Lepisosteus oculatus: one gene and its partner. The protein of the gene in region 1 interacts with the protein of each later gene in a biochemical or structural test. Links are inferred from orthologs where the notes say so. Each region holds a gene or a part of one and is shown on either strand. Other genes may lie near its edges. The genes, in order: mark3a and kinase suppressor of Ras 1.

Region 1 (12,199 bases):
CCCAGTAATGCAACAAGGGATCTGGGTGTAGCTGAAACTAGTTACATGAATTATCCTTTTCACAGCTGGGGTGATCTCTCCATTTGAGATTAAACAGTACTTTGACTCATTGAAATTTTACTTGATTTATACTCATAAAACTGTACTGTGTCCCCCCCCAAAAAAAATAGTTTACAGTAGTATTCTATTGTAGAAAACCAAAAGCAATGGTGGGTTAGTTCTTCATATTTACATGATTTTGGAAATTAGGCTTTAAAGAGTTGAATAGTCTCATTCATTTTAACATGAATGTGATGTTGAATCACTAGATGCTTTAATATTATTCATAGCAAGGCGTCAGTGGCACAGACAGTATGAGTCACTCCTTCTTCTGTCCACTTGTGGAAATTTTAACACCCAAGGCTAAAGTTCAGGTGAGTATTTTTCATCTCAAAGGTTTGTGTAAGTGGATGGTGCACATTGGTGGTGGTGGAGGGGAGTCCCCATTACCTGTGAAGCGCTCTGAGTGGAGTGTCCAGAAAAGAGCTATATAAGTGTAAGCATTTATTAGTATTAAGGTTTTTTAAATGATTGATACCTGATGGAGGACGCAATGCCCTTCTCCTATGATAGGGATTCCCAGTCGTGATTCTGGAGGAACATTGTCTGCAAGTTTTGCTCCAGCTGTGTTCTTCATCACAGACTAAATGGTTTCAGTCTCCTGTTCAGGGCAAATTTAAAAAAAAAAATTGCATTCAGCTCTTAAATGTTCAGATGGGATCTGTAATTGGTAGCAACCCCTTTACTAATTTCTGACTTTCAGAACTGCCCTCATCTTATGTGAGCTGCCTGAAATGTAGCCAATTGGCCCTCTGCAGAATATAAAAAGCTCTTTGCGGAAATAGGGGATAGTGTCATTCCCCACTGTCTGGGCACAACAAGTTAAACAGACAACTGAACAAGCAAGAAGATCAAATGATTATGTGCGAAATTAAAGCTGCAGTAGCAGAATTTAATGAAAGACAATTTCCACATGTGGGTTTGCCCTTTCCTTACAAATGGTTCTTGTGCGCCACTAGGGGGCACCGTGCTCACATATGTATGGTTATCCGAAGCCGAGGCGAAAAATACTCGTGAAATTGAAAGGAGGTCACCATTCAATGTAATTGATGTGTTAGCCAGGGCCACTCCTCGTTTTTCCTATCCACTGAACTACAGTTCTTTCTCCATGGTGTCACAGGTCTCGGGAGTGGAAGCCCAGCCCGTATGTGTTTCGTAATTTTTCGGTTCTCTTGTTTAGCAAAAAACAAAAGGCTCCCCACTGTACTTTTGAGGTGATTCATCCCTTAGCAGGTCTTACTCACCGGCGAGAAACTGTTCTCATTCTCTCTCTCTCTCTGTGTCTCTCTTTTGCTCTTCCTTTCAGTGTGAAAAAAGCCTCTGAGCCACACAGGAAATGTAGCGTGGGAGGAGTAGCGTATCCTATCCCCCCTTGAGAAACAGAAGGCAAGACAGAGAGAGCAAGAGAAGGTGGTTAAACACAAAAACTGCAGAGAATACTGCTGAACGCTGCACACGTTGAAGCCAGGACGTCACATTTCAGTTTTTTAGTCTGCTTGTTAATAAGGAATTTCGCCATATTCCTCTGCAGTTTTTTCATAGTGCTAAAATGCCTCGCACATGAACATCTGAACAGTTGTCTCCCGCAAGATGGTGATTCAGATATTCTCCCTAGATTGTTCTTTTTGGATTTGGGGTTTCTTTTCAGCTGAAAGTAAATTCTCCCCCGGGCACATCATGCTTTGCCGTGCAAAATACATTAGCCAGTGTGTGAAGAAAACATTGTTGTTCCAGGAGAGCCTCTTCTTCATCCCCTCACGAAGAGACTCCTGTTGTCATAGCAACCTCACATCTGGATGAAGCTGTGTGCACAGCCAGCTGTCTGATAAGAATGGAGCTGCAATGATGTTTTTCTTAATGGTTATCCCTGTCCAAGAGCTACCAGAACTGTACGGCACTCTGATAAGACTGATATTCTGTTCACAACAAGACTAGGAAACTTTTAGTGCCTGATTTGATCTTCTAGAAACATTTGTCATTTTTACCCAGAGACTGTATTCTTTTCACATTTTGCAAGGTGATCTATCCATCCGCCTTTCCCTCCATTAATTAATTAGCTCTTGTCGTATGACAGTAAAAGGAATCATCTTAAAACGTCTAATTAAAACTTTTGTACTGTATACAGTGGTGTGAAAAAGTGTTTGCCCCCTTCCTGATATCTTATTTTTTGTCACACTGAAATGTTTCAGATCATCAAACAAATTGAAATATTAGACAAAGATAACACAAGTAAACACAAAATGCAGTTTTTAAATGAAGGTTTTTATTATTAAGGGGAAAAAAAATCCAAACCTACATGGCCCTGTGTGAACAAGTGATTGCCCCCCCTGTTAAAACATAAATCAACTGTGGTTTATCACATCTTTGGAAAGCTGAGTTCAATTTCTCTAGCCACACCCAGGCCTGATTACTGCCACACCTGTTCTCAATCAAGAAATCACTTCAATAGGACCTGCCTGACAAAGTGAAGTAGACCAAAAGATCCTCAAAAGCTAGACATCATGCTGTGATCCAAAGAAATTCAGGAACAAATGAGAAACAGAGTAATTGAGATTTATCAGTCTGGAAAAGGTTATAAAGCCATTTCTAAAGCTTTGGGACTCCAGCGAACCACAGTGAGAGCCATTATCCACAAATGGCAAAAACATGGAACAGTGGTGAACCTTCCCAGGAGTGGCTGGCCGACCAAAATTACCCCAAGAGCGCAGCGAGGACTCATCCAAGAGGTCACAAAAAACCCCAGAACAACATCCAAAGAACTGCAAGCTTCACTTGCCTCAGTTAAGGTCAGTTTTAATGACTCCACCATAAGAAAGAGAATGGGCAAAAATGGCCTGCATGGCAGAGTTCCAAGACGAAAACCACTGCTGAGCAAAAAGAACATAAAGGCTCGTCTCAGTTTTGCCAGAAAACATCTTGATGATCCCCAAGACTTTTGGGGAAAATACTCTGTGGACTGACAAGACAAAAGTTGAACTTTTTGGAAGGTGTGTTCAGAACAGGAACATCATACCAACAGTAAAATATGGTGGTGGTAGTGTGATGGTCTGGGGCTGTTTTGCTGCTTCAGGACCTGGAAGACTTGTTGTGGTAAATGGAACCATGAATTCTGCTGTCTACCAAAATATCCTGAAGGAGAATGTCCGGCCATCTGTTTGTGACCTCAAGCTGAAGCACACTTGGGTTCTGCAGCAGGACAATGATCCAAAACACACCAGCAAGTCCACCTCTGAATGGCTTAAGAAAAACAAAATGAAGACTTTGGAGTGGCCTTGTCAAAGTCCTGACCAGAATCCGATTGAGATGTTGTGGCATGACCTTAAAAAAGTGGTTAAGGCTTGAAAACCCTCCAATGTGGCTGAATTACAACAATTCTGCAAAGATGAGTGGGCCAAAATTCCTCCACAGCGCTGTAAAAGACTCATTGCCAGTTATCGCAAACGCTTGATTGCAGTTGTTGCTGCTAAGGGTGGCCCAACCAGTTATTAGGTTTAGGGGGCAATCACTTTTTCACACAGGGCCATGTAGGTTTGGATTTTTTTTCCCTTAATAATAAAAACTGAATTTTGTGTTTACTTGTGTTATCTTTGTCTAATATTTCAATTTGTTTGATGATCTGAAACATTTCAGTGTGGAAAACATGCAAAAAAAGAAGAGATCAGGAAGGGGGCAAACACTTTTTCACACAACTGTATATTAAGTCACAGTTAGTAGCCCTGGACAGCTGTTTAACCCTTATTAGGGCTCATCAATGCGACAAGAACTAATCAGTATTCATACCCTGAACTCAGACTGGTACCCTGAACGTAACCCTGGAAGGAGGTCTGTGGAACAGTTCTGTTAGCTGTACATCCATCTCCGTATATCTCTGTCTCCTGACTCACCAGCCACCAAGTGTTCGATGCCTGTCAGTTTGTGTCCCTCTCAGGAGCTGACTGGGTATCGCGGTGGCATCCTTGTGCTCGTGGCAAGTTGGCAGCCCGTCTGCTTGTGTGCCTCCCTCCCCCTGGACCGGTACTGCCCACACCCCCAGAGAGGGCCACCAGCAGGGCAGGCAGCAGGCCTGCGGACCCTGAGAACAGGAGAGCCGCAGCCGAGAGAGGGAGGCTGCTCTGTTCTCCTTCCAGGAATCCCGACTCTTCCCTGCCTGGAAAACAAGGAGATGAAGGATCTTCAGCGGAAACAGGAAAGAAGCCCTTCATCCAAGGGTGGCGAATGCAGAGCGGAAGTTGATGAAAATGTCATCTGGTCCAAAGTGTGCAAATGTTTATACTGGGGTGTACACACTGCAGCTCGGGCCTGCCAGCATCGCTCCTCAGGAAAACCCTGTCCTTTTTCTGACTCTTTTATTTACTATTGTTCACAGCATTTCAGACGGTGTCCATGTACAGCATCAGCCATGTCATTCCTAAGGCCCCAGTCATGTCAGGACTGTTCTCCTGTTAATGTGAATTAGCAAAGAACTGTCAGCTTGCAAAACACTTGACAGGACATCTTATACACCTTTCTAATTCTGCAGGAAGGGGAAGTAACAACAGTATAAAGAACAGGCATGTTTTTTATAGTTAAACTGTTTCTGTTTCTCGCCAATTCTCTCATACGGGCAGGGACACAGCAGTGAGCTCCGAGCTGAAGTAAAACGTGGTGTTATCGAGTTTAGGAAATAATACACTCACTTTTGTGTGGGACTTTTGTAATGCCTTGGGCTTAGCCTGGTGTAAAGAATCCTGAAGGCCTTATTTTCTCTGTGCCCACTCTGTGGTAGGGGAATTAGATGTGTAGTAGGGCAATTTTATCATTGGGAAAATAGACCCCTTGGTTCCACTCAAAAACATTGATTCAAACGTACCAATATCTACCACCTGTAAAATGACCATAGCATCAACAACAATGATAACACTATAAGTAGAAAGACAGCTGGACAAAGAGAGGGAAAGCCTGTAAATATCGCTCGTCAGTTTGCTTTTAAATACACAGTCGGTGATAGAATGCAGGGAAGCTGGTTCTTCTTAATGGAAATCCAGTTAGATAGTCGCTGTAACAGCTGAATGCCTTCTTTTGTCTCGGATGGGAGGGGTCTTATTCGAAGCTTGTGAGACTGTCTCTGACCCACACCCCGGCCATCTCCAACCCCCCTGCTGTGTATCTTTGGCATGTGATCTGCTGGGAGGCTTCGGGGTCAGGGGTTACGACAGAATCAAGGACTGGTTATGTACAACAGACCAAACTAAAGGGATGTGGGAGTATGATGTTCTGTTGCAGGAGGGTCTAGTTGTTTCAGAACTCTACCGGGACTGACCGACAGTAACCTGACATCGGGCAGGTCCTGGGATCTCACCCCGAGTGTGACAAGCCTCTCGTCCTGCTCACACAACATCAGCCTTCTTGTACATCGAACCCCGTGATGCACACTCTGCGTGCTCCAGGCGTGGGCCCCCCCGAGCGTCTGTGGCGCAGGCCCAGGCGATGTGTGGCACCTGGGGCTCAGAGCAGTGTGGACAGGCATGTGCTTGCCCAGGCCAGAATCCCACCGGACAGCATGTGCAAACCAGCGCAGAGCTTGTGTAGCTCCGCCACCAGCCTCCACACACACACACACCACACGCCTGTGACTTCCACAGCCGGACCCCCTGTTGACCCACCCGAATGACAGCTCATGTTCATCACCACCGTGACTTTACCTGTGCCATCTCTGTTCGGTAAAAAAAAAAAGCCGGCGCATCACGTATTGGTTACTCACAATATTATCGTTATTATGAAGGAGCTTGGGTCTGGGTTTCTCACTAGTTCATTCTGAACTGTCTTCCAACGAGGTAGAATAGCTGCAGAAAACAAACACAAAAAAAGTCGATGAGTCTAAATTTATATAATCTATAACGCATAACGCATGGCGACGAATACGTGTAAAAGCCCTCTGTATGTTGGAGCTAAGTTACTGGGAGAATTAAAAAAAAAAGGACGAACCTACATTAGGCGAAGAAACATATCTATTGTAAGTTACAATATATATACAATGTATGTACCAGTGTGGGTATTTATTGATCATATGACGCATCATTTACAGTGCAGCTTGCGTTCAGGACTGAGGAGGGCACAGAACTGTGTGACTGAAGATGGTCTGTTGAGAAAGGAAGTAACAAGCCTTGTCTTGATGTCTTGTGCAGTTATTCTTCATATCTTTTTTTTTTCTAACTCTCCCTCCCTCTGTCTCTCTCTCTCCAATAATCACCCTAGCAACAACAAACAGCGCTGCTCGGGCAGCAGCGCCAATAAGCTCCGAAGGCAGTCTGTTTCCTCACTTCCTCTCGTCGTGCCAGGGCTTGGCTTGTTGCTCTCCAGCCAGTGGGCAGCCATCTTGGATCCTGCTAGCAAGCAAAGCTTCACCTAGGGGAGATGGGAGGAATCGAGCCGGCAGCGGGTTTTCCAGCTAGACATCACGCTTGAAGCCCAGGGCGTTGTGCTTTGGGGGCCGAGCACTCAGCGGACCTACAGCCCCCGGGGGGTCACAGGCGGGCCGGTCACAGTTTTGGCGTGCACCCTCCTCTCTCTCTCTCTCTCTCCCATCCCCTTTTCCTTGTCTGAATTGCAGTGCAGGAGGGCCTGCAAGGTGTTCCGTGTGTGTTGACTTTTTTTTTTTGGTGGGCTGAAAACTGCACAAGGCTCGGCTTGTGCGTCTGTGCGTCTGGAGGGGGAAGAGAGAGTCCGGACAACTCGCCTGAAACGGACGGTAGCGCGGAGACATGAAAGTGTTTTCGTCGGGCTTTGTACGGAAACAATTTTCTTTTATTTTTCCCGTGACCTGCGAGAACCCAACCACCACCACCACCTCTCTTTTTTTAGGTGTTCAGAGCCGGCGTTTTCGGGTGTCCCCTTAGCTGAGAATAATGCGGTTCGGTATTTTTCCCTAATTAGGCTGCGACCGGGGGGAAACCAATCAAGAATTATCATCCGCTGGTGGTGGGAGAAGCTGGGTTCAAATTGCCGCTGAAAAAAAAAAAAATCTCCCCCTCCCCACGCCACCGTGGAATCCATGGTCTTCATCAGAAACCCAGAGAGAACTGCCTTCCTCTCAGCCCTCTGACTACGGGACTGCAAAAGCAAAAGACCGAGCACGGGAAACTTGCACGGCCGACACGCCGACGAGCACCATGTCCACACGAACACCGCTGCCCACGGTCAACGAGCGGGACACTGAAAATGTAAGTTGTGCGCTACGGTGTGTCAACGTGTTGGCCAGCGTTTGTCACTGTGGGGTTCGTGGTCTTGGGCTCGCTGCTCGCCGTCCCCCCCAGTCCTCCCAGTACTGCTCAGGGCGGCTGTGGGGTTGCTGTCGGAGGATGCTCTGGCTTAGGGAGGCTTGAATCGTTTAGAAGAAACCTCCCCTACTTGATTGTACCGTGTTTTATTTTCCTCAACGATCACCGCTGCCCAAGTATCATCACTTGTGCGAGAGCGCTCATGATGTATTTCCTGGTATCCTGGTGCCCCCTTTTTTTTGTGGGGGGGAGCCGGAGCTGGTGTGTGTTAAAAAAAAATGACTGACGCATAGCCCGCTTGTTGCTCAAACTTAGGGCGCGGAGTATCGGTTTCTTTAAATATGACATTTCCATCGAGACGGGCTAACACGCCAGATAACTAGTAATTATCCCCCGTCTCTGGGAGCCGGAGCCGGCGGCTGCGCAGTGTGGAGGCTCAGTCCCCGCAGAGCCGGAGCTCACGATGGGTGAATCATCTTTTACTCCTCTTTCTTCTCTCTCTCTCGTCCGCTCCCGCCCCCCATCAGCCCGAAAAAGAGGATTTTCACACGTTTGTCGTCCACCCCCCCCCCCAAAAAAAAAAACACACACCAATCTTCAGCGTGGACCCTATTAAAAGGAAAAAAAAAACTCGCGGAACTTCCGTTTTCTGTTTTCAGAGTGGGGACTGTGGTGGTGTCCTTTATTAGAGAGTGTGCAGGAGGTGCCCTCAGGTTACCTCGCCCGCTCGGAGAGCGATAGTTGCCGGGCCAGAGCACGACAGGTCCCCTGTTTCGTAATGAGTGGGGCGACAGCAACAAGTGGTACACCCCCACCCCCACCCCACCCGGAGGGGATAGCACCCCAACATCCAGCTAGCCTTGAAGCGGCTGGTGTTTGGCGGCTGAAAACAACTCCTCCTGCTCCTGCTGCCTCTGAGCTTGAACCCAGGCTGGCTGTCTTACCTGTCGGCGTGGGCGGGCTGTGGCGTGGGGGGGCACCCTCAGTGGGTGTCAGGATCGGAAGTGGCCTCTTCTCCTCGCTGTTCCAATGAGGAGCGTGTTTAGTGCCCACCCCCGGGGTGGTTCGTGACAGGTGCTGGGATGCTTCCTCACCGATCCCAGCGACAGTGTGAGAGCAAGAGACAGGCAGAGAGAGCAGATCAATGAGCTTCCATCACAAAAGAGAGAAGGCAGTCTGGTTTAATGCCATTCAGAGTGCCAATGACAAAATGAAGGGGAGCCACTTGGTGAAAAGGCATCGGATCTCCATTGTAAGTGAATCCCATCTGTGTCTTCACTGTCTTGTCGCGCCGGACAGAGGCTGAGGCAAAGGGAGGTTCTGTGGCAGAAGTTTAGAGGATGTTGAATTCATTCGTTTTCGACAAGTAAACTGGTACAAAAAAGTATTCAGGACGGATACTCGACGGTGTGTTGGTTTTGCTGACAAAAATAAAACACATCCGTGTGTTTTATTTGCACTTTTAAAAAAAAAAACAAACGAAGCAGAAGTCTTTTCGCCGTCTGTCTGCGTTACAAAGAGGGAGATCAGTTGCTGTGTTTGGCTATAGGATGCTCTGCTGAGATATTACAGCATATACACACATGAGCTGTCTGCACTGGGAGAGATACAGCTCTGTCGTTCAGCTGACACGCTTGTATCAAATGAAGGTGCCGTTAGGTAGCGTTGTTGGCGGATGCGGTGCTTTTATTTCTTATTTGCTTGTCTCAACCAAGGTGAGATGTATTTGGTTAAAGCTAATTTCCCTAACAGCTGTTTTAATGCAAATGACTTGTTGAGGCTGGCGCAGCACGGTCCCGGTCAGGCTACGGAACGAGAGGCTTCTGTAGAAAAAATGCGCCTCGACATCCTGTTGTTTTTCCTTTCCAGTTGGAACGTTTTCCTTGAGCCAATGTAAGATGCTGGAAACATTGGGTTGGCACAGTCTGAGAGCGTGTGCGATCCCTTGATTCGGTCGCTGGGTTTTCTACTTCCTCAGAGAGCCCGATTAATAGATTTCTGGTGGGGTTTTATTTCCATCCAGTGGAATGTCAGGAAGGGGGAGAATTGGGAACAGGATTCCTAGCCATGCCGGCTTTTGGCTCTTTGGAGTTTTCCGTTTGAAGGTAACGTGGAAAAGCACTTTCTTTCCAGTCTTGTCATGTTGCTTTTTGCCTGAATCAGGAAATATTGTTGATCAGGTGAAACGGCAAACTCTAGGCCTAACGCAGATGAACGAAGAGGTTACTATAAAACGAATCCACCCCAGGGATCTGTAGGTGTCTCAGTATTGAGCTGATCTATGGATCATTTGATCTAGGCTGTTTTATGATACTGACTGGCGCTGCCTCCGTGCCTCAGTCATGTCACCCTTGAGCATTTCAGTCCTCTTTTATTGTGACCGTGAGAGATGTGCATCACGTGCAATTGTAAAGTTAAGTTCTGTGAGTTTTACTCATTTGAGCTAATGCAGCTTGAGCACTGTATTCCTGCTTCCAGGATCAGGATATCTGCCGAATGCCAGCTTGTATGATGCTTCAGCAGGATGGTGATGATGCTGGGCTGTTGCTATTAATGATTGTGGTTTGTCAAGAGAAATTCCTTCATTGGTTCCCTGAGTACTAAATTACACTAGATTGTTTAATGACAGGCATTTACTTTATCAGTGTAGGGTGGTTACTTGCATTTAGCTAAGGTAGTGATTTTTATTTTAACTATAATCATGTTAGCTTAACTGCAGGTACTCTAGAATTTAGCTGTTTTTTTTTCCATACCAGTACTCTTAATTTTATGCAATGTTGTCGTAATGGTAGGCTTTTGCACTAACAAAAATCGGTGACACTTTCACAAAAATGATTTTAAGTGGTTGGGATGCGGTGATTTTGTTTTTAGAACTATAGGATGTAATTTACTTAAATAAGAGTGACCTGGGGCTGAATTATCATGGTGCCGTTAACTATGGACACTGAGTGTGTATGCGTTGCAATGAGAAATTATGCACTTGAAATGAGCAGTACAGCAGGCTTAGATGAAGAGTCACTGTCATGTCACTCTACAGGACACGGTGCCTTATTGATGATGTCATGCTTCAGGTGAGAGACCGAACCCTCTGAAAAGCACTAACTCTTGCAGTGGCCCTTTCAGAACCCCTTGTCCTGCTACCCAGGAGTTCTGGGCCTTGCTCATTGCCCAGGTTCTGGGAGAGCTCTGCTGAGTCGGGCTGGGGTTGTACAGGCCTGCGCAGGGCACACAATGGACAGGGAGAGCATCGTACACCATCGGTACACCAACCTTAAACTAAACGCCATTGTTCCCTTTCAGCTTGCTCTATCGAATTTTAAAACTGCAGCACTGTGTTACGCGTTAGAGATGAGTTCTCCCTGCTTCGATCTCATTTGGTGCAGGTGTTGAGGCGTATTAACCCGAATTTCTAAATCGGGCATTTCCGAAGCAGGCATGTCTGTGCACTGTTCCCAATGTCTGCATTGGAAGGGTTTTAGAAATTCCCCGCAAACTGGGAGGAGGGTAGGGGCAGCCCAGCCTGGCATGGAAATTAATTTGTCCCGTCAGTTCAGTTGATTCATCAGGGCTTGTTGAATCAGGTGAAGTGTTTCAGACACACAGGTCTTTGACATTTTAAGTTGAACCTGTTCACGGGCTGCAGCTCACCAGCCGACAGAAGGGGATACATACTCTTGTATCCCCTAAGAAATGTTTTTATGGGAACTTTAACTGAAGTGGAAAAAAAACACATCTCGGTTTGGGAAATGCTTCAGTAAAGGCAGATTTAACACAATAAGGCCATTAAGGTCCTGTTAAAATGAGGTGTTTAAGTAATAATAACTGTGATTGAATCAGAACGAATTAGTGTAGGCACTGTATGATGCTTGTGTGGCTGTTTTTGCCACTAAACTGGAAGTACCTGGAAATTGAAGGGTTTTGTGAAGTGATCACTGCAGCAGAGACTGAGTAGGAGAAGATGACTGTTCCCATTCAAACGGGATTAGTCAGGAAAACGGTATCTGGGAGGTGCTGGTGGAGTGGGTTTTTCTGTGGCTCTGTCAAAGGGCCCAGAAATGACCTTTTCCGGAAGGGGCCGAGAGTAATTTCAGTCCAGAGCTGGTTCTTACTGAAGCACTGTGAGAGATTGATTTGTTTTTTTTGTTTTGTTTTATTTGAGGCAAAACCAATTGTGAAGGAAGGAATCAGTCAGTTACTTCAACCCCATCTACTTTTATGATTTAATATGTTAGTGCCTCCAAGTAGACTTTAGATTTCCATTTGAGAATGTGTCCTTTTTTAATTGATAGAGGCTGGCTGGAGAGCTAGAGGCTTGCAGACGTCGGCGATTAGCATTTGATCGGTTCCTGTGTGTTTTTGATACACTGTAAGCTTTTTAAAACCAGTGCTGTTCTTGTGCTGTGCTCTGTGGTTGGTGTTAAAAATAAAAAAAACAAATTCAAGCTTTATTTATAACCACTGATTCTGATGACCTAATGATGATCTGATTTCTTACTGAAATGAAATTTAAGATAGGCCAAAACCCTTAAATACAGCATTACAGAGCTCCAAAGAGCACTGTCTTTCTCTACAACATCTGTTCCCGGGGGTTTAGAGAAGTAACTAAAACGTGGTGCGCACGTTGTTGCGAGGGAATCTACACAGGGGAATTGAAACTGAAAAACTAAATCTGACTTTCAGAAGCATTTGTTTTGTCCCAATTCCTGCTGGATGTGTCAGGAGCCTGTGAGGTGGGATCTTTTGCCGCCCGATGTTGAAAGGAACTGAGGGTGTGTGTGAGACACTTCCCAGGAAATTCTTGTTTCTCCATTGCCTGACTTTTGCACCCAAGATAGTCAGCGTGG
Region 2 (12,226 bases), on another chromosome or scaffold:
TCACATCTCCACTTGAGAAGAGCTCACACAGGACTCCTGTTCTAACCGAGGAGACTAAGAAAGCAGGAGAACTAACAGTGCAGCTTTAGGCTAGTTTTTTGCATCATTGTCACAGTGCCTTAAAATGAATGCGGTCTCTGCTATATTGCTTGTTGGCTTGCTTGCTAAATTTCTTTTTCCCCACTGGGTTTCTTGTCCTTGTGCAGAAAGCACAGTTTCATGGGAAAGGGCTGTGCGGTTGTAAACAGAGTGGTATAAGGAGAATTCTGCTCCCTGGCCCCTTGACCAGAAGTGTGGTAAAAAAACAACAGATATCCCTGTCTCCGTCTCTGTCTTATTAAGATATCAAAGAGCATGCCAGGAGAGAACAGCCTCATGGGATACCTCACATTACCATCCAGTGCTATAAAACTCTTCCAACTTTTTCTTTCAACAAGAAGTACATCTTTTTTTCACCTAATTGTGATGGAGCAAGCTGAGGCTTTGTTAAAACCTCTTCCTTCTCTGAAGTAAATTGGACACACCTGCCTTGATTGATTAATTGGACTGCTGTGCAGAAAAGGGACCATCTGATTGGCCTGGTCCTAAATTGGGACATTCCTCAGGAGTATCAGCAGTCAACTGCTATAACAGCAGACAGGTGCCAAGGGTAGGGTGTGGTGTCTAAGCTGAGCCTGGTGGAGTGTGTTGGGGGTTCCGGGGAATGAAAGTAATGAGTTTGTATTGGCAAGGAAGAAGAGAAATGGAGAATGTGGGAGTTTGGCAGTGATTTGTGTGTTCCAGCTCTCTCAGTGGAACGGAACACTGAAGAGTTGTACCACGTAAGAAGGGAAGCTGGAGATCTTTTTGGAATGAATACCACTGTGAAGGACTTGTTTTTTGGGATTGTGCAGGGTTCTCTGAAAGGGGACTATTGTTATGTCTTAGGAGCCTGGTGGGGTTATCTTGAAATACTCATTCACTTTAGGAGTGCTATGGTGGTTCAGGGCTACAGTCTGTTGGAGGTTTTCATTCCTCACTCTAATATACTCAGGATGAAAATGCACAGTTAACAGTGCTGTTCAAAATCTCCCTTTCTCCTGCTTCTGATCACGTAACAGGCAGCAGTCCAAGATTTTGAATTTCTTCACATTTTTTAGATGTGTTTACAAGGAGAGTGAGAACTGGAACGAAACATCGTTCCTGGAATCCACGATCAAGTTGAAACCACTAGCCAGTAAGCTTGTTTTTTTTCCTACAAAATAACTCAAATTAATCGTTAATTCTAACAGTTTCAAACAGTCTATTCGGCATTTATATAATCATGGTCTTGACTAACGCCCAGCTCATACAGCGCTTTACCAAGAAGTTCGTACTCCATGCTGCTGACGCAGTTCCCCTTTAATGTAGTTCTGCTATTTCCTGGTTACCAGTGGTCAGTGTTCCAGTAAAGATATTGACTGGTTTGCCTTATTCCAGTGAGCTGGTTACCAGCGGTCATTGTTCCAGTAAGATATTTACTGGTGTGCCTTATTCCAGTGAGCTGGTTACCAGCGGTCATTGTTCCAGTAAGATATTTACTGGTGTGCCTTATTCCAGTGAGCTGGTTACCAGCGGTCAGTGTTCCAGTAAGCTATTTACTGGTATGCCTTATTCCAGTGAGCTGGTTACTAGCGGTCAGTGTTCCAGTAAGGATATTGGCTACTGTGCCTTATTCCAGTGGGCTTCTTTCATTTCACTGGCACAATGAGAGGCAGTGAGGTTTTATGCTGATTCAGCCCCTGTCACTGCTGCAGATCTCTGATTTGTGCTGTGCTCCATGCCTCATGAACTCCCTGTGTTTTCCTGTCTTGTGGTTTCCTGTAATGTAGAAAGAATCAGATCTTGCCAGGGGGAGGAAACTAAAAGAGACATTCTTAGCACTGCAATTGCTCAGGAACAAAGAGGAAGTCTGTTTCCAGAAGCAGCTTTTGTCAAGTGCTGGCCTTTGTATCTGGGCTCCCTCAATTTTGGGATTTGCTGTCAATAGCATTGAAAAAGTCACACGAAAATCTATGGAGCTCTAACATAGTTTGTCTCCCCTTTTCCGAATAGACAGACATGGAAATTATTCATTTTGACTTCCAAATGAAGCGAGTGCAGTAGACCTATAGGAGCTCCTGTATGTGTTTGCACATCTGATATAGATGTATTTATTGAAGCTGTTATGCATTGCTTAAAGTGTACCAACTACACCATTTTGAATTAAATGCAAAGGTGAGCATGTGTTCAAATACACCATTATTAAAAGTATGTGTTTGGTGAAACATAGCCCTGAAATTGAATGACCTGTATGCCTGTGCTAAATTAAATGTGGGGTGTGTGGTGGGATCCTGAGATTGCTTAATGCAAATGTGTGCATCAAGGAGGAAAAATGAATGAAAGTAAAGAAAGAATATGGGGCATGTATGATAACAAAGAACACATAAAGAATAAAAAGCACCACACATATGACCAGATTCCAAAGCGGTTCGGAATGCTAATGGAAGGAAGCTCTTTGTTTTTGGAAGAGCATCTTCTCTCTATGCTGTAGTGCAGTTTCCTGCTCTGCAGTCTGCCTTTGTTCCAGCAGTGCCGATACTCCTCCCACAGAAAAAACCCTTCATTAAGAGGCTCACTGACACCAGGGCCTGGCAGTGGTACCTGACATATGCGGACTGATCGTGAGACACTAGCCAGGTTCCTGCTGGAAATGAATACATTTTCTTTGTGCACCATGAACTTGATTATCAGTAACTGGACACATGTGGTCTAGTGCAGATTGTGTCAGCACAGCCTTACTGTTCCAACCCTCTCTGAACACTGCTTCTCTAGAATCCGTTCCGTGAAGAAGAGATCACAAATCCTTCTCACTCTAGTGTTTCAACTGTATTTGATCTTGGAGTCTGGCAGGAATTTAAGTCCAGATCCAGGACCAAAAGTCATTCACTCACACAGCGCTCAGCCCCTGCCCCTGATATGTGGTATTACCCCAAAATCAGAAGACTTCAGTGTCTGAGGGAAAGATTAGTATCTGGTATCTTATTCGAACCTTCAAACAAAAAACTTCTCCCATGCATCTTCAAGCTCAGGTTTATCCTTGCTGTGAAACCCTTGTTGCAGAATTAGTGTTTTTCATCCACTTTGACATTTACCCTCTCCAAAGTTAGTGCTGTTTTGGGACAATCTGTGTGATGTGTACAACTCAAATAAATCTCCCGGTCGGCCTCTGAGAGAGAACACAAACTGGGCTTTGTCTAAATACTCAGACGCTCTGTTGTAGTTTCTTTTAGATTAAGCACGTTCACTATGGACACTTTGCTTGCCGAAGCTGTCTGATAGGAAAAGACTACGCTTGTTCTTTTTTCCCTGTGGGCTGTTCTGTAATGCAACCACAGTTCAGCAAACGCTTTTAGATGAGCCATGTGCTGTATACACTCATCCCAAAGCAAGGCGCTGTGGATGTTCCTCTCCCCATGGCTGAGAGTTAGGAAGTATCACAGGACTTCTTATGAAACATCACTGGTCGATAACATAATAATTATCATTATGGTCCAGGTTAGGATACCTTGTACTTTCTGTCTACATAGTTTGCACTTTGTTTAGGAGTCACAGAAACAAAATAACATCTTTGCTTCTAAGACGTTATTGGGAATCCTAGGACTTTCACTCCTGCTCTGCACATCCTTTTAAAAAAACTCCAGTACATTGAAATAGTTTCATGTATCCTGGAATCCCCCTGAAATGTTTTCCCCATTTCATGCCTGTTGAAACAACTTGTTGTTTCCTGCTGCAATGCTGACCAGGCTATGTGGTCTTTTATTAGTTTGTTAGAGGGGGATTTGGGGATTTTCCACCCTCCAGAGGCCTTAGAGGTTCCAGAGATGCAAGGCCATCTTCAAAGGTCTTATCAGGTTTTCCATGGCTAATATTGAATTACTGTAAGTGCAGCAGAGCATAGAGAAGCCAAGGCAAAAGCATATTAAACCACAGAGGAGTGTGATCAGACATTGTTCGGTAGGCGTCCATGGAAGAGCAAAGTAATTTACTGTGTAACTATTCAGTCCCCTATCTCTCCTACAGCCCCTCTGGCCCTCTCCTCTGCCACTTTCTGTACCCCCTCTCTGCTCCCGCACTTTCCGAGCATCCTCCTGCCCCTCCGCTCCTCACTTTTGGCATGAACTGCCCCCAGAAATCAGACCTGCTCAGGCCGTGACCCCTTCACCACCTGCTGTGTTTAGACAGTTCCTGTGGACTCTCAGGTGCCGTCTCCCGCATTTCCCGGGCTGGCTGTGGGGCTTGTTCGTTACGCCCGTTGGCTGTAGACGCAGAGCTCGGGCCCCCAGGCTGCCTCCACGCTGTCTGAGTGCCGTTTCTTTTTTGCCTGGAACTACTCCTCCAGGTTGTGTCAGCTATCTTTTTCATCGCGTTTGCTTGTCATATACTGTTTACGTGATCGTTACAGTACATTACATATGTATTTTGTAAGCTGTCATGGATAAGGGTTAGGCCGGCATTGCAAATAAATAAGACCGATGATGATACCAGCAACAACAGTTAAATGTAATTCATGCATGACGTCACCCAATGAGGAAATGCAGTTGTGCTTGAGTATTGAGGAGTTGGGCAAAAAAAGCTTTGGCTTCACTTGCTAAACTGAGGATGGACCCCCAGGCCGGAGCAGGAGGAAGTCAGGACCCCCTGCAGAGGGAGGAGTTACCCAAGGGGCAGCAGCACAGGTGGAGACGGAGAGGAGGAGGGAAGCAGAATGATGTCTGCGAGGAAGAGGGCGGGGCTTCCTGTGGTATTTATAGAGTTTTCAGGAAGTGATCCAAGTTAGGAGTAGAAGAGGTCGCTGTCATCCCTCCTGGCTGCCAGTTAAAAAGCCCACTGGCAGTAGCACAACGATGGGAAAGCACTGCGGAGATTGACCATGGTCACGTTAAAGGATGCCCAGTGCTCCTGGAGAGAGGTGTTTTTCAGTTCAGCTGCTGGCAGAGAGGGCTGGTTCTTAGGCCTGGGTGTGCAGAATGACATTACCCTGTGGAAAAGCCCTACAACACAAGGGATGCAGTCAAGGGCTTTAAATTGTTAGTCAACATTATAATAATAGCATATCTGCCAGATTGAGCAGATGTGTGTAGGAGTGTATCAAAGCGGTGTCTACAAGGCACAAGGCATTGTGGTTCTCCAGCAATTTCAGTAGGTGTATTGTGAGTGTTTTGGCTGGAATCGATCCTTAAAAGACAGCTGCAGCACGCCGACCACGAATTCTTGCTATGGGGCAGGAATTCCAGATTAATCCTGGGCTCGCCGCATTCTGCAAGCATCGTGCTAGAGGATTTATGTTTATTGAGGGATCTAAAAGATTAGACAGTAGATATTTTCTAACAGACTTACAAGGTCATCGACGCAAACAGCAAGAGGGGGCTGGCAGAAGCAGGGGCTGCAAGTGGGGCTGTTAGATGTCAAGGGTTTTTCCCAGTCGGCTGTATTAAAGCAGATCTTTTATCGCCTTTATTTAAAGGCGGGAGGTTTGCCAAATCTCCCACGTCCACTTACAACCTCTTGGTCATTATAAACTGGATATTTCGGTGAATTAAAAAAAAACAACTAATTCATGTACTGCCTGCATTTTGGCATTATGTCTCTGCTCCCTGTCACTTTTTCTTTCTAAACGTGTGAGTTTAAATATACACGGAGTTGTGAAAGGGTGATAACTGAACTGAAACCCAAGGCGATGACGCAGCATGAGGATAGTAATTAGAAACCTAATACGCACAAGCGCCTGGATTTCCAACCCAGTGATCGCATGCAGCCGAACCTGCACAGCTGATCATTATACAGTTCTATATTCTTCTGTAGGACTTTCTTTGAGCTTACTACCACCCGCGTTCGTCAAAACAAAATCTTGACAGTATGCAAATTCCGTAAAAAGTCACCCACTGTCTTCGTCTTAAATGTTTTAGCCTTAATAAGAATATACTTCTTTTCAACTCGACTGCAAAATGAAATTGAAGAAGAATCCGGGGGGGGTGGGGAGATGAAAACCTCTGAAGAAATTTGTGAGCGACACTAATTGTAGAAAATCCTTTGTGATGGTAATAGAATACGGGCGTTCTAACTCTAAATAAAGCGTTTATTCATTTGGTTTGTTTCATTTAATAAATAAACCAAAATGTATTTGATTTCTATCTTGTTTTTTTAAAAAAATATTTTTCACTTCTACATTCGCTCCAAAGCTTCAAAAGAGAGAGACCCCAAAAACTACATCTCCCAGAGTCCAACGGGAGGCATTATCTTAGCAACAGCTGACAGACGGTAAAAGCCGAAGTGAAAAGCTGCCAGCGAGAGAGCGGAGTCAGCAGGGCGGCTGAGCTTCGCTGCTGCTGTCAAACTAACACACAGCAGGACTTGGGGGCTTTTTTTTTTGCTTGGACTCTCGTGTTTGGCTATTTCCACCTTCAAATTGATGATACATGTAAATATTTCTTCGACTTTAATTCGGGCATGTGATTAAGCCAGGGAATTATTTTTTAACCATTTGTGTGTGTGTGCGCGGGGGGAAATTATTCAATTTTTCGTCTCTCTAACCCCCCAAACTACCCCCCCTACCCTTCCTCCTCCCTCCCCCCCCGCCCCCCACCACACGCACACACACACACACACCACCCCCCGCAAGCCGTGCCCAAATGCCGAGGAATGGACACCGAGTCTGGCAAAGAGGGGAACATGGTGGAGAGTGACGAGGTGCCGGAGAGGGCGAGTGGCCGCGACGAGGCGATGGCCGCGCTACAGCAGTGCGAGCTCATCCAGGACATGATCGAGATCTCCATCTCCAGCTTGCAGGGGCTCCGGACCAAGTGCGCCGCGTCCAACGACCTTACCCAGCAAGAAATACGCACTTTGGAGGTAATGAGCGAAGCCGCAGACCTTTACGCACAGCAGTTACAGTGCAGAGCCCAGTGCGCTCTCCTGCAGGAGCTGTCTCAGCGCTTCATAGTCTCGCCTCGCCTGGCTCGGGGCTTTGCGCTGCAGTGTTTCAGTAATGTTGTGCAAGGTGATCGAAATGTACGTTGAGCTGTACTTTGTGATCTTTCCGCCCTCCGGAGGAAAACAAATCCACTTTAAAGCACGTCATCTCGGCGACTTCGTGTGTGGTAGAGAGAGAGATAGGATAGGTGATTGTTGGTGGATCTGAAATAAAATACCAGAAGAAGGAGAAAAAACAAGAATGCGCTTCGAAAATATAGCGTCCCTGCGAAGTTGAGTCTTCTGTTTTGTTTTTGTGTGACAAGATGAAGGTTGCGCATCTCTGCCACGGCACAGTCATTTGTCAGTTCGGTTCTTTTGCGCAAAAGACTTGCCCCGCTTTCATAAATAGAAATCGCTTCTTCTGTAAATTAAAACCCGCCCGGTCATAAACTGTAGAGTTGGCTTGTGCAAGGGGCTTCACTCTGAACGCGTTAAGAGGAAATATTAAATTATCCGGCTATCATCAACTCTCAGTAGCCGTCCGGTAATCTTTAATTGAAGGAGATATTCTTTTATTTAAATTCGTGACATTTAGGCCCGCAGAGTCAATATCAAAGGTCTCTCCGGTTTTAATTTATTAATGGAGCAATAACCTATTAATTTAGATACTGGAGAAGCCTCTCAGGAGAAAACGATGTAAATATGTCAGGGCAGATATACACGTAGGGGAGGTGGTGGTGGTCGGGGCAGGTGCTGGTTTGGATCAGGACAATTGCTGTATCACAGTCGGCGCAGTTGAGCTATACGTGATCTTAGCCATTACATAGGCTTAGTAAGTATATGCAGTTTGGACCTTGGTGAAATGCGGCGCCGGTTCGTTTTTATCATCCCGATGTTATGTCTATGTTGTATAAGGTCTCGAAGAGTCAAGTGGAACAGTTTGTTAGTTGGTTAATTTCTGCTGTAATTATTGTTATAATTGTGTATGGACGTCTTGATGGTCTGTAATGGGCTGAACCTCAGGGTTTTACTGGTATTTATGTCTTACCTAATGTTTTTAGGGAAGACCTGCTGCAGAAAAAAAATAGCTTTAATCAAAAGTAGTTTTGTGTAAAATCAAGCCATAGAGATTAATTCTACAGCATTGCTGTCCAGGAAATTTATGCAGGTATTCTTTCAGATGTGAGTTCATTTATTAACCCTCTACCTGCTTTCTGAGCATAAGGGAGTCGACAGCAATTTTTGCAATTGTTTTAGAGTACTGCATGAGTGCCAACACCCCCTCGCACACACACAAACACAAAATAACAAAATATTTCGACACACCGTGGTCACAGCTGACCGAGCTTCTCAGAAAGTCCCAAATGAGGTGGATAAATTCCTGAAATATCCGCAAAGATGATTCCAGGAGCGCCCCCCACACCGGACTCCAGGACCAGAGCCCGTTCTGAGCCTGCTCAGCAGAGGCAGGAGCAGGCCGGTGGAGAGGAGAGAACGGGCGAGTGAAACACGGCCCTGTTGCGACTGCTGTTTCACGGAGATGTTTCAAAGGCAAATGAGATAAATTCCTCAGACGAACAAGCCCGCGGCAGTGGGAGAGCACGGTCAGTGTACCCTCTCCGTTTACGCTCTGCTCTAGAGAGGTTGCGCCTGTCTTTAAATACCCGTCGCCGAGGTTTGCGGAGGATACAGTGGGGTTCATCGTCCCGGAAAGCAGTAGGGTATCCGCAGGGGACTAGACAGCCAGTCCTCAGGGCTTCTCCAGCTGCCGCGGTGCTGGCCCCAACAGGGCGAACCTTAACTCGCTTCTCTCGTCAGGGCAGCACCCCGAAAATCTTGATGTGGGTTGGCAGGAACGCGGCTGAAACAGAAACGGTTAAAATTGGGTGGGTGGCCTTGAGCTGGTCTGAGCCCACCTGGGGCGGGCAGACGGGAGGGAGTCATCTCAGTGGGACCTGCCTGCGCCCAGGTAACTGCAGTAGCCCCTCCAGAAACTCCTGACACCCTCCTTGAGCACTGGTGTTGTTCCAGGGGTCCTCATTACCCCCATGCCAGAAAAGCCAGACTTGGCTCTGGACAATCGAAACAATTTTTCGCCCCATCTCCAACTTACCCTTGCAAAAAATCTAGAACGTGCTGTTAAAAATTCAGTTTAATAACTACCTCATTGAAAATAATCTTTTTGAACCCCTCCAGTCTAGCTTCTGACAACGTCTTAGCACAGAAACTGTCCTGGTCAAAGTCACTAACAGACTTCTAATAGCTTCTGATTCTGGTTTTCTTAAATGCTTTGAGAAGCCACCTTTAAAGGCGCTATATAAATAGTCTATTATTATTATAATTAGTGGTTTCCACTGTGTCAGTGTTGGGGCTGGCTCAGAAATGCCACTAGGGCATGTTGAGGGTGCTGAGATACTGGAGCATTCCTTCATAACAATAGTCTGCAGCTCCCACCAAATATTCCTCTAACGGGAAGGCCAGGCCAGTTACAGGGAGAGACTAAATATTTAGGCATTTAAGTGTGATACTAATTTATGGTTCTAAATTCTCTTCCATTCCCAAGATGCATTGAGCTTGAAAGTGACAGTGTTGAGGTGGGCTTTACTTTGGCAACACTAATGCCTAATTTGGCTTTACTGTACAAGAAAAATGTTCGTTTAGGAATAAAAGGAGAAAGTAGTCAGACTAAAGATCTGATGAAAGGGCTACTTTTTTTAAATGGTTGGCACTCAGACATATTTCAGATATACTGCAAAGTCACATTAATTAGCAACTTAGGAATATCAAGAGTGGGTGTTTGTGCTTTGCTGTCTTCCCAGAATGTCTGTCCCATTTTCTGATTTGACATAATGTAAACTTGAAGCTAGATTATTAGGAATAATTTAGTTTTCTTGAAGTGTTCTTACATGAAAACAGGGAGAGAAAGTGTCACAATGATTTCCGGCAAAGTGTGCCTAAGCAGTTTTTTTCCCAGTGGGTTTAGTGAAGGAGTGATTTGGCCTAAATCTTTGACCAAACAGTTTTAGAATTAAACTGTAAAATAAAACATGTTTTACAGCATAACCTCGATTTTGCCACATTGATACATAGGAGAAAGTTGGGAACTGGGATTTACCATGTAAAACTTGGGTTATGAAAGCTAAACACGAAAGCACCTTATGCTTTACATTCCTGAAGTAGACCAATTGTAAGAACATCATATTTAAAACCATTCCAATTATATTCTTCAATATAAAATATGCTTGTTTCTTTTAGATATGCCTAAAAATGCACTGAAGCACCCCCAGAAACTCAACTGTCTGTATTTATCTAAGAATTGCTCAGGTGGAGTTTGTTTGTCCCTGTACTCGTTTTGTATCTGTGTTGAAAAAAGATCAAGCCTACCCTCTCATTTTGTGTTTGTTTTGCCTGGTTTGTTGCTTGAAGTCATAGAGGTCCCAACATAGCGCTTAAGACATTGAAGAGCAGGTGTCACGTTGCCTGATGGAAAGCAAGATTTGTCGTAAAGAAATGGCTAGCAGCCTTGTCACTTCCAGGACATTACAGATGGTTCTTTCTGCCAGTGCTGTAATTCATTGCCTATGAATGAGCTTGTTTCCCTTGCTGCTGAGAATCATATGAGGAGACAGGAGGATCAGCAGCACCAAAGGCTTTGCAATGGAAGAATGGAACGGAAGGGTTAAGGCTTACAATTGCTGTCAAAAAGTTTCAGCCAATGGGCTTCGGCCAAAAAGCACATGGCCACACAGAGAGTGGATCAGCCTCGCTTGTCCTTCAGTCTCTTGTCAGTGCAGACCTTCTGAAAGAGCGATCAGTGACCCTTGGTCTAGTCTGTGTGTGTTTACATGCTGTGTTGGCTATGTTGGTCCTGCCATAAATCATGGCTCTTGTGGATCAAGCCAAGTTGGAACACTGTACTTAAAACTTGAATTGAAAGTCTGTTAGGCTGCTTTTACCTGCACCAGTGAGCCTTCATGTGATGCTGCAAGACTCAGCTGAGCATACACCAATTCTTCCTTGTCTTGTAAGGACTGCCTACATGCTGAACCATAATGCTTGTTAGAATAGACATACAGTACAAATAAGTTATGTTTGGAGTTCTTTGTTTATGAAGAGATGTTTAATGGACATTAGGAGAATACTTGTTTAGCTAAGGTGTCCCTTTTGTTTGCTCTAGGATTGTCATGTACAAACATGACTAGTAATGGACAGATGACTTCTTGTTAAAGGAACGTCTTCATTGCCTCTTTATGATCTGGCCTGGTGGCATTTCTGGGGATGTGCAATTGGAGGAGACCCATATATGTTCACTCGCTTGGGCACATTTTGCTTTAGGGGACGAAATGAATGGGGTTGCAGTGGGAAAGAGAGATAGTCACACGAAGGCAAAGCCGTTACTAAAGCATCGACCTTGCAGAAGGAACACTTTCTGTGAGGGGGCTGTTCTTGTCGCAGGCGTGACGAAAGGTCTCGCTGTTCCTCGTCCTGAAGATGTCACTTTCACTTCTGCTTCCTGTTCATGCAGGAAGTCCATCTCCTACCTGCATTCCAGAGCCCACCCCACAGGGAAATTCCTGCTTTTAGAGACAGGAAGTGATGTGGGCAGTGCTGTAGAGGGATGTGCAAGTCAGCCTCCTGGCCTGACAGTCAAGCTGAGTTGAATTCTGCATTAAACCTCCCACTGTCAGCCGCAGTGTGTTACAAAATTGTAGGCCGAACCATCCCGCCTGACCTGAATATGCAACTCTTGCTTCAGAGCTCTTGTGCAACTGATCACTGCTTTCACCACCTGCGTATGTCACTGAAATGCAATGCCGCACTGAAAGCAGAGTCAACAGTTAATTACTGTGTTTCTCCAGGTTCTGCCTGCTCCAAGTTGCTGGGCTGGGGAATTTAAAATCAGGATTTTCCGTAATGCTTTGACACCTGTACTGGAAGAGGAGTTCCCCTTGACAGAATATATTCATGTGTTTCCTTTTAATGGATACTGCTTTACAAATCAACAGGATCCAGATCTGCTCGAGAGGTGTGTCGTAAAGTGAGGAGCCCAGAGGCAGTGTTCAGTGAGCAGGATTTAAACAGGTGTATCCTTTTGTTAAGTGCTATAAACAGGACATTTAAAAGATTCAAACTCCTCATAATTTAAGCTGCAATATATTGAAAATTGTACAGCTGCTTTGTACTATTAAACTACACTATATCATCTAAAAATAGAAGTGCAGTTTGTTGTGTTGTGCATTATAATGTAAACTTT

What was found.
Region 2: of the proteins of mark3a (region 1) and kinase suppressor of Ras 1, one has a biochemical effect on the other in vitro, tested with the Homo sapiens proteins (2 studies listed by BioGRID). The link is inferred for Lepisosteus oculatus from reciprocal best matches to the Homo sapiens genes MARK3 and KSR1.

The regions. Positions count from the first base shown.
Region 1 is NC_090703.1:6,777,433-6,789,631, forward strand, and holds the start of mark3a (MAP/microtubule affinity-regulating kinase 3a), read left to right. Parts: upstream 1-6,388; 5' UTR 6,389-7,247; coding exon 7,248-7,298; intron 7,299-8,299; exon of another isoform or gene 8,300-9,052; intron 9,053-12,199. UniProt on the Homo sapiens protein: Serine/threonine-protein kinase. Involved in the specific phosphorylation of microtubule-associated proteins for MAP2 and MAP4. Phosphorylates the microtubule-associated protein MAPT/TAU. Phosphorylates CDC25C on 'Ser-216'.
Region 2 is NC_090721.1:7,005,351-7,017,576, forward strand, and holds the start of kinase suppressor of Ras 1, read left to right. Parts: upstream 1-6,579; 5' UTR 6,580-6,699; coding exon 6,700-6,909; intron 6,910-12,226.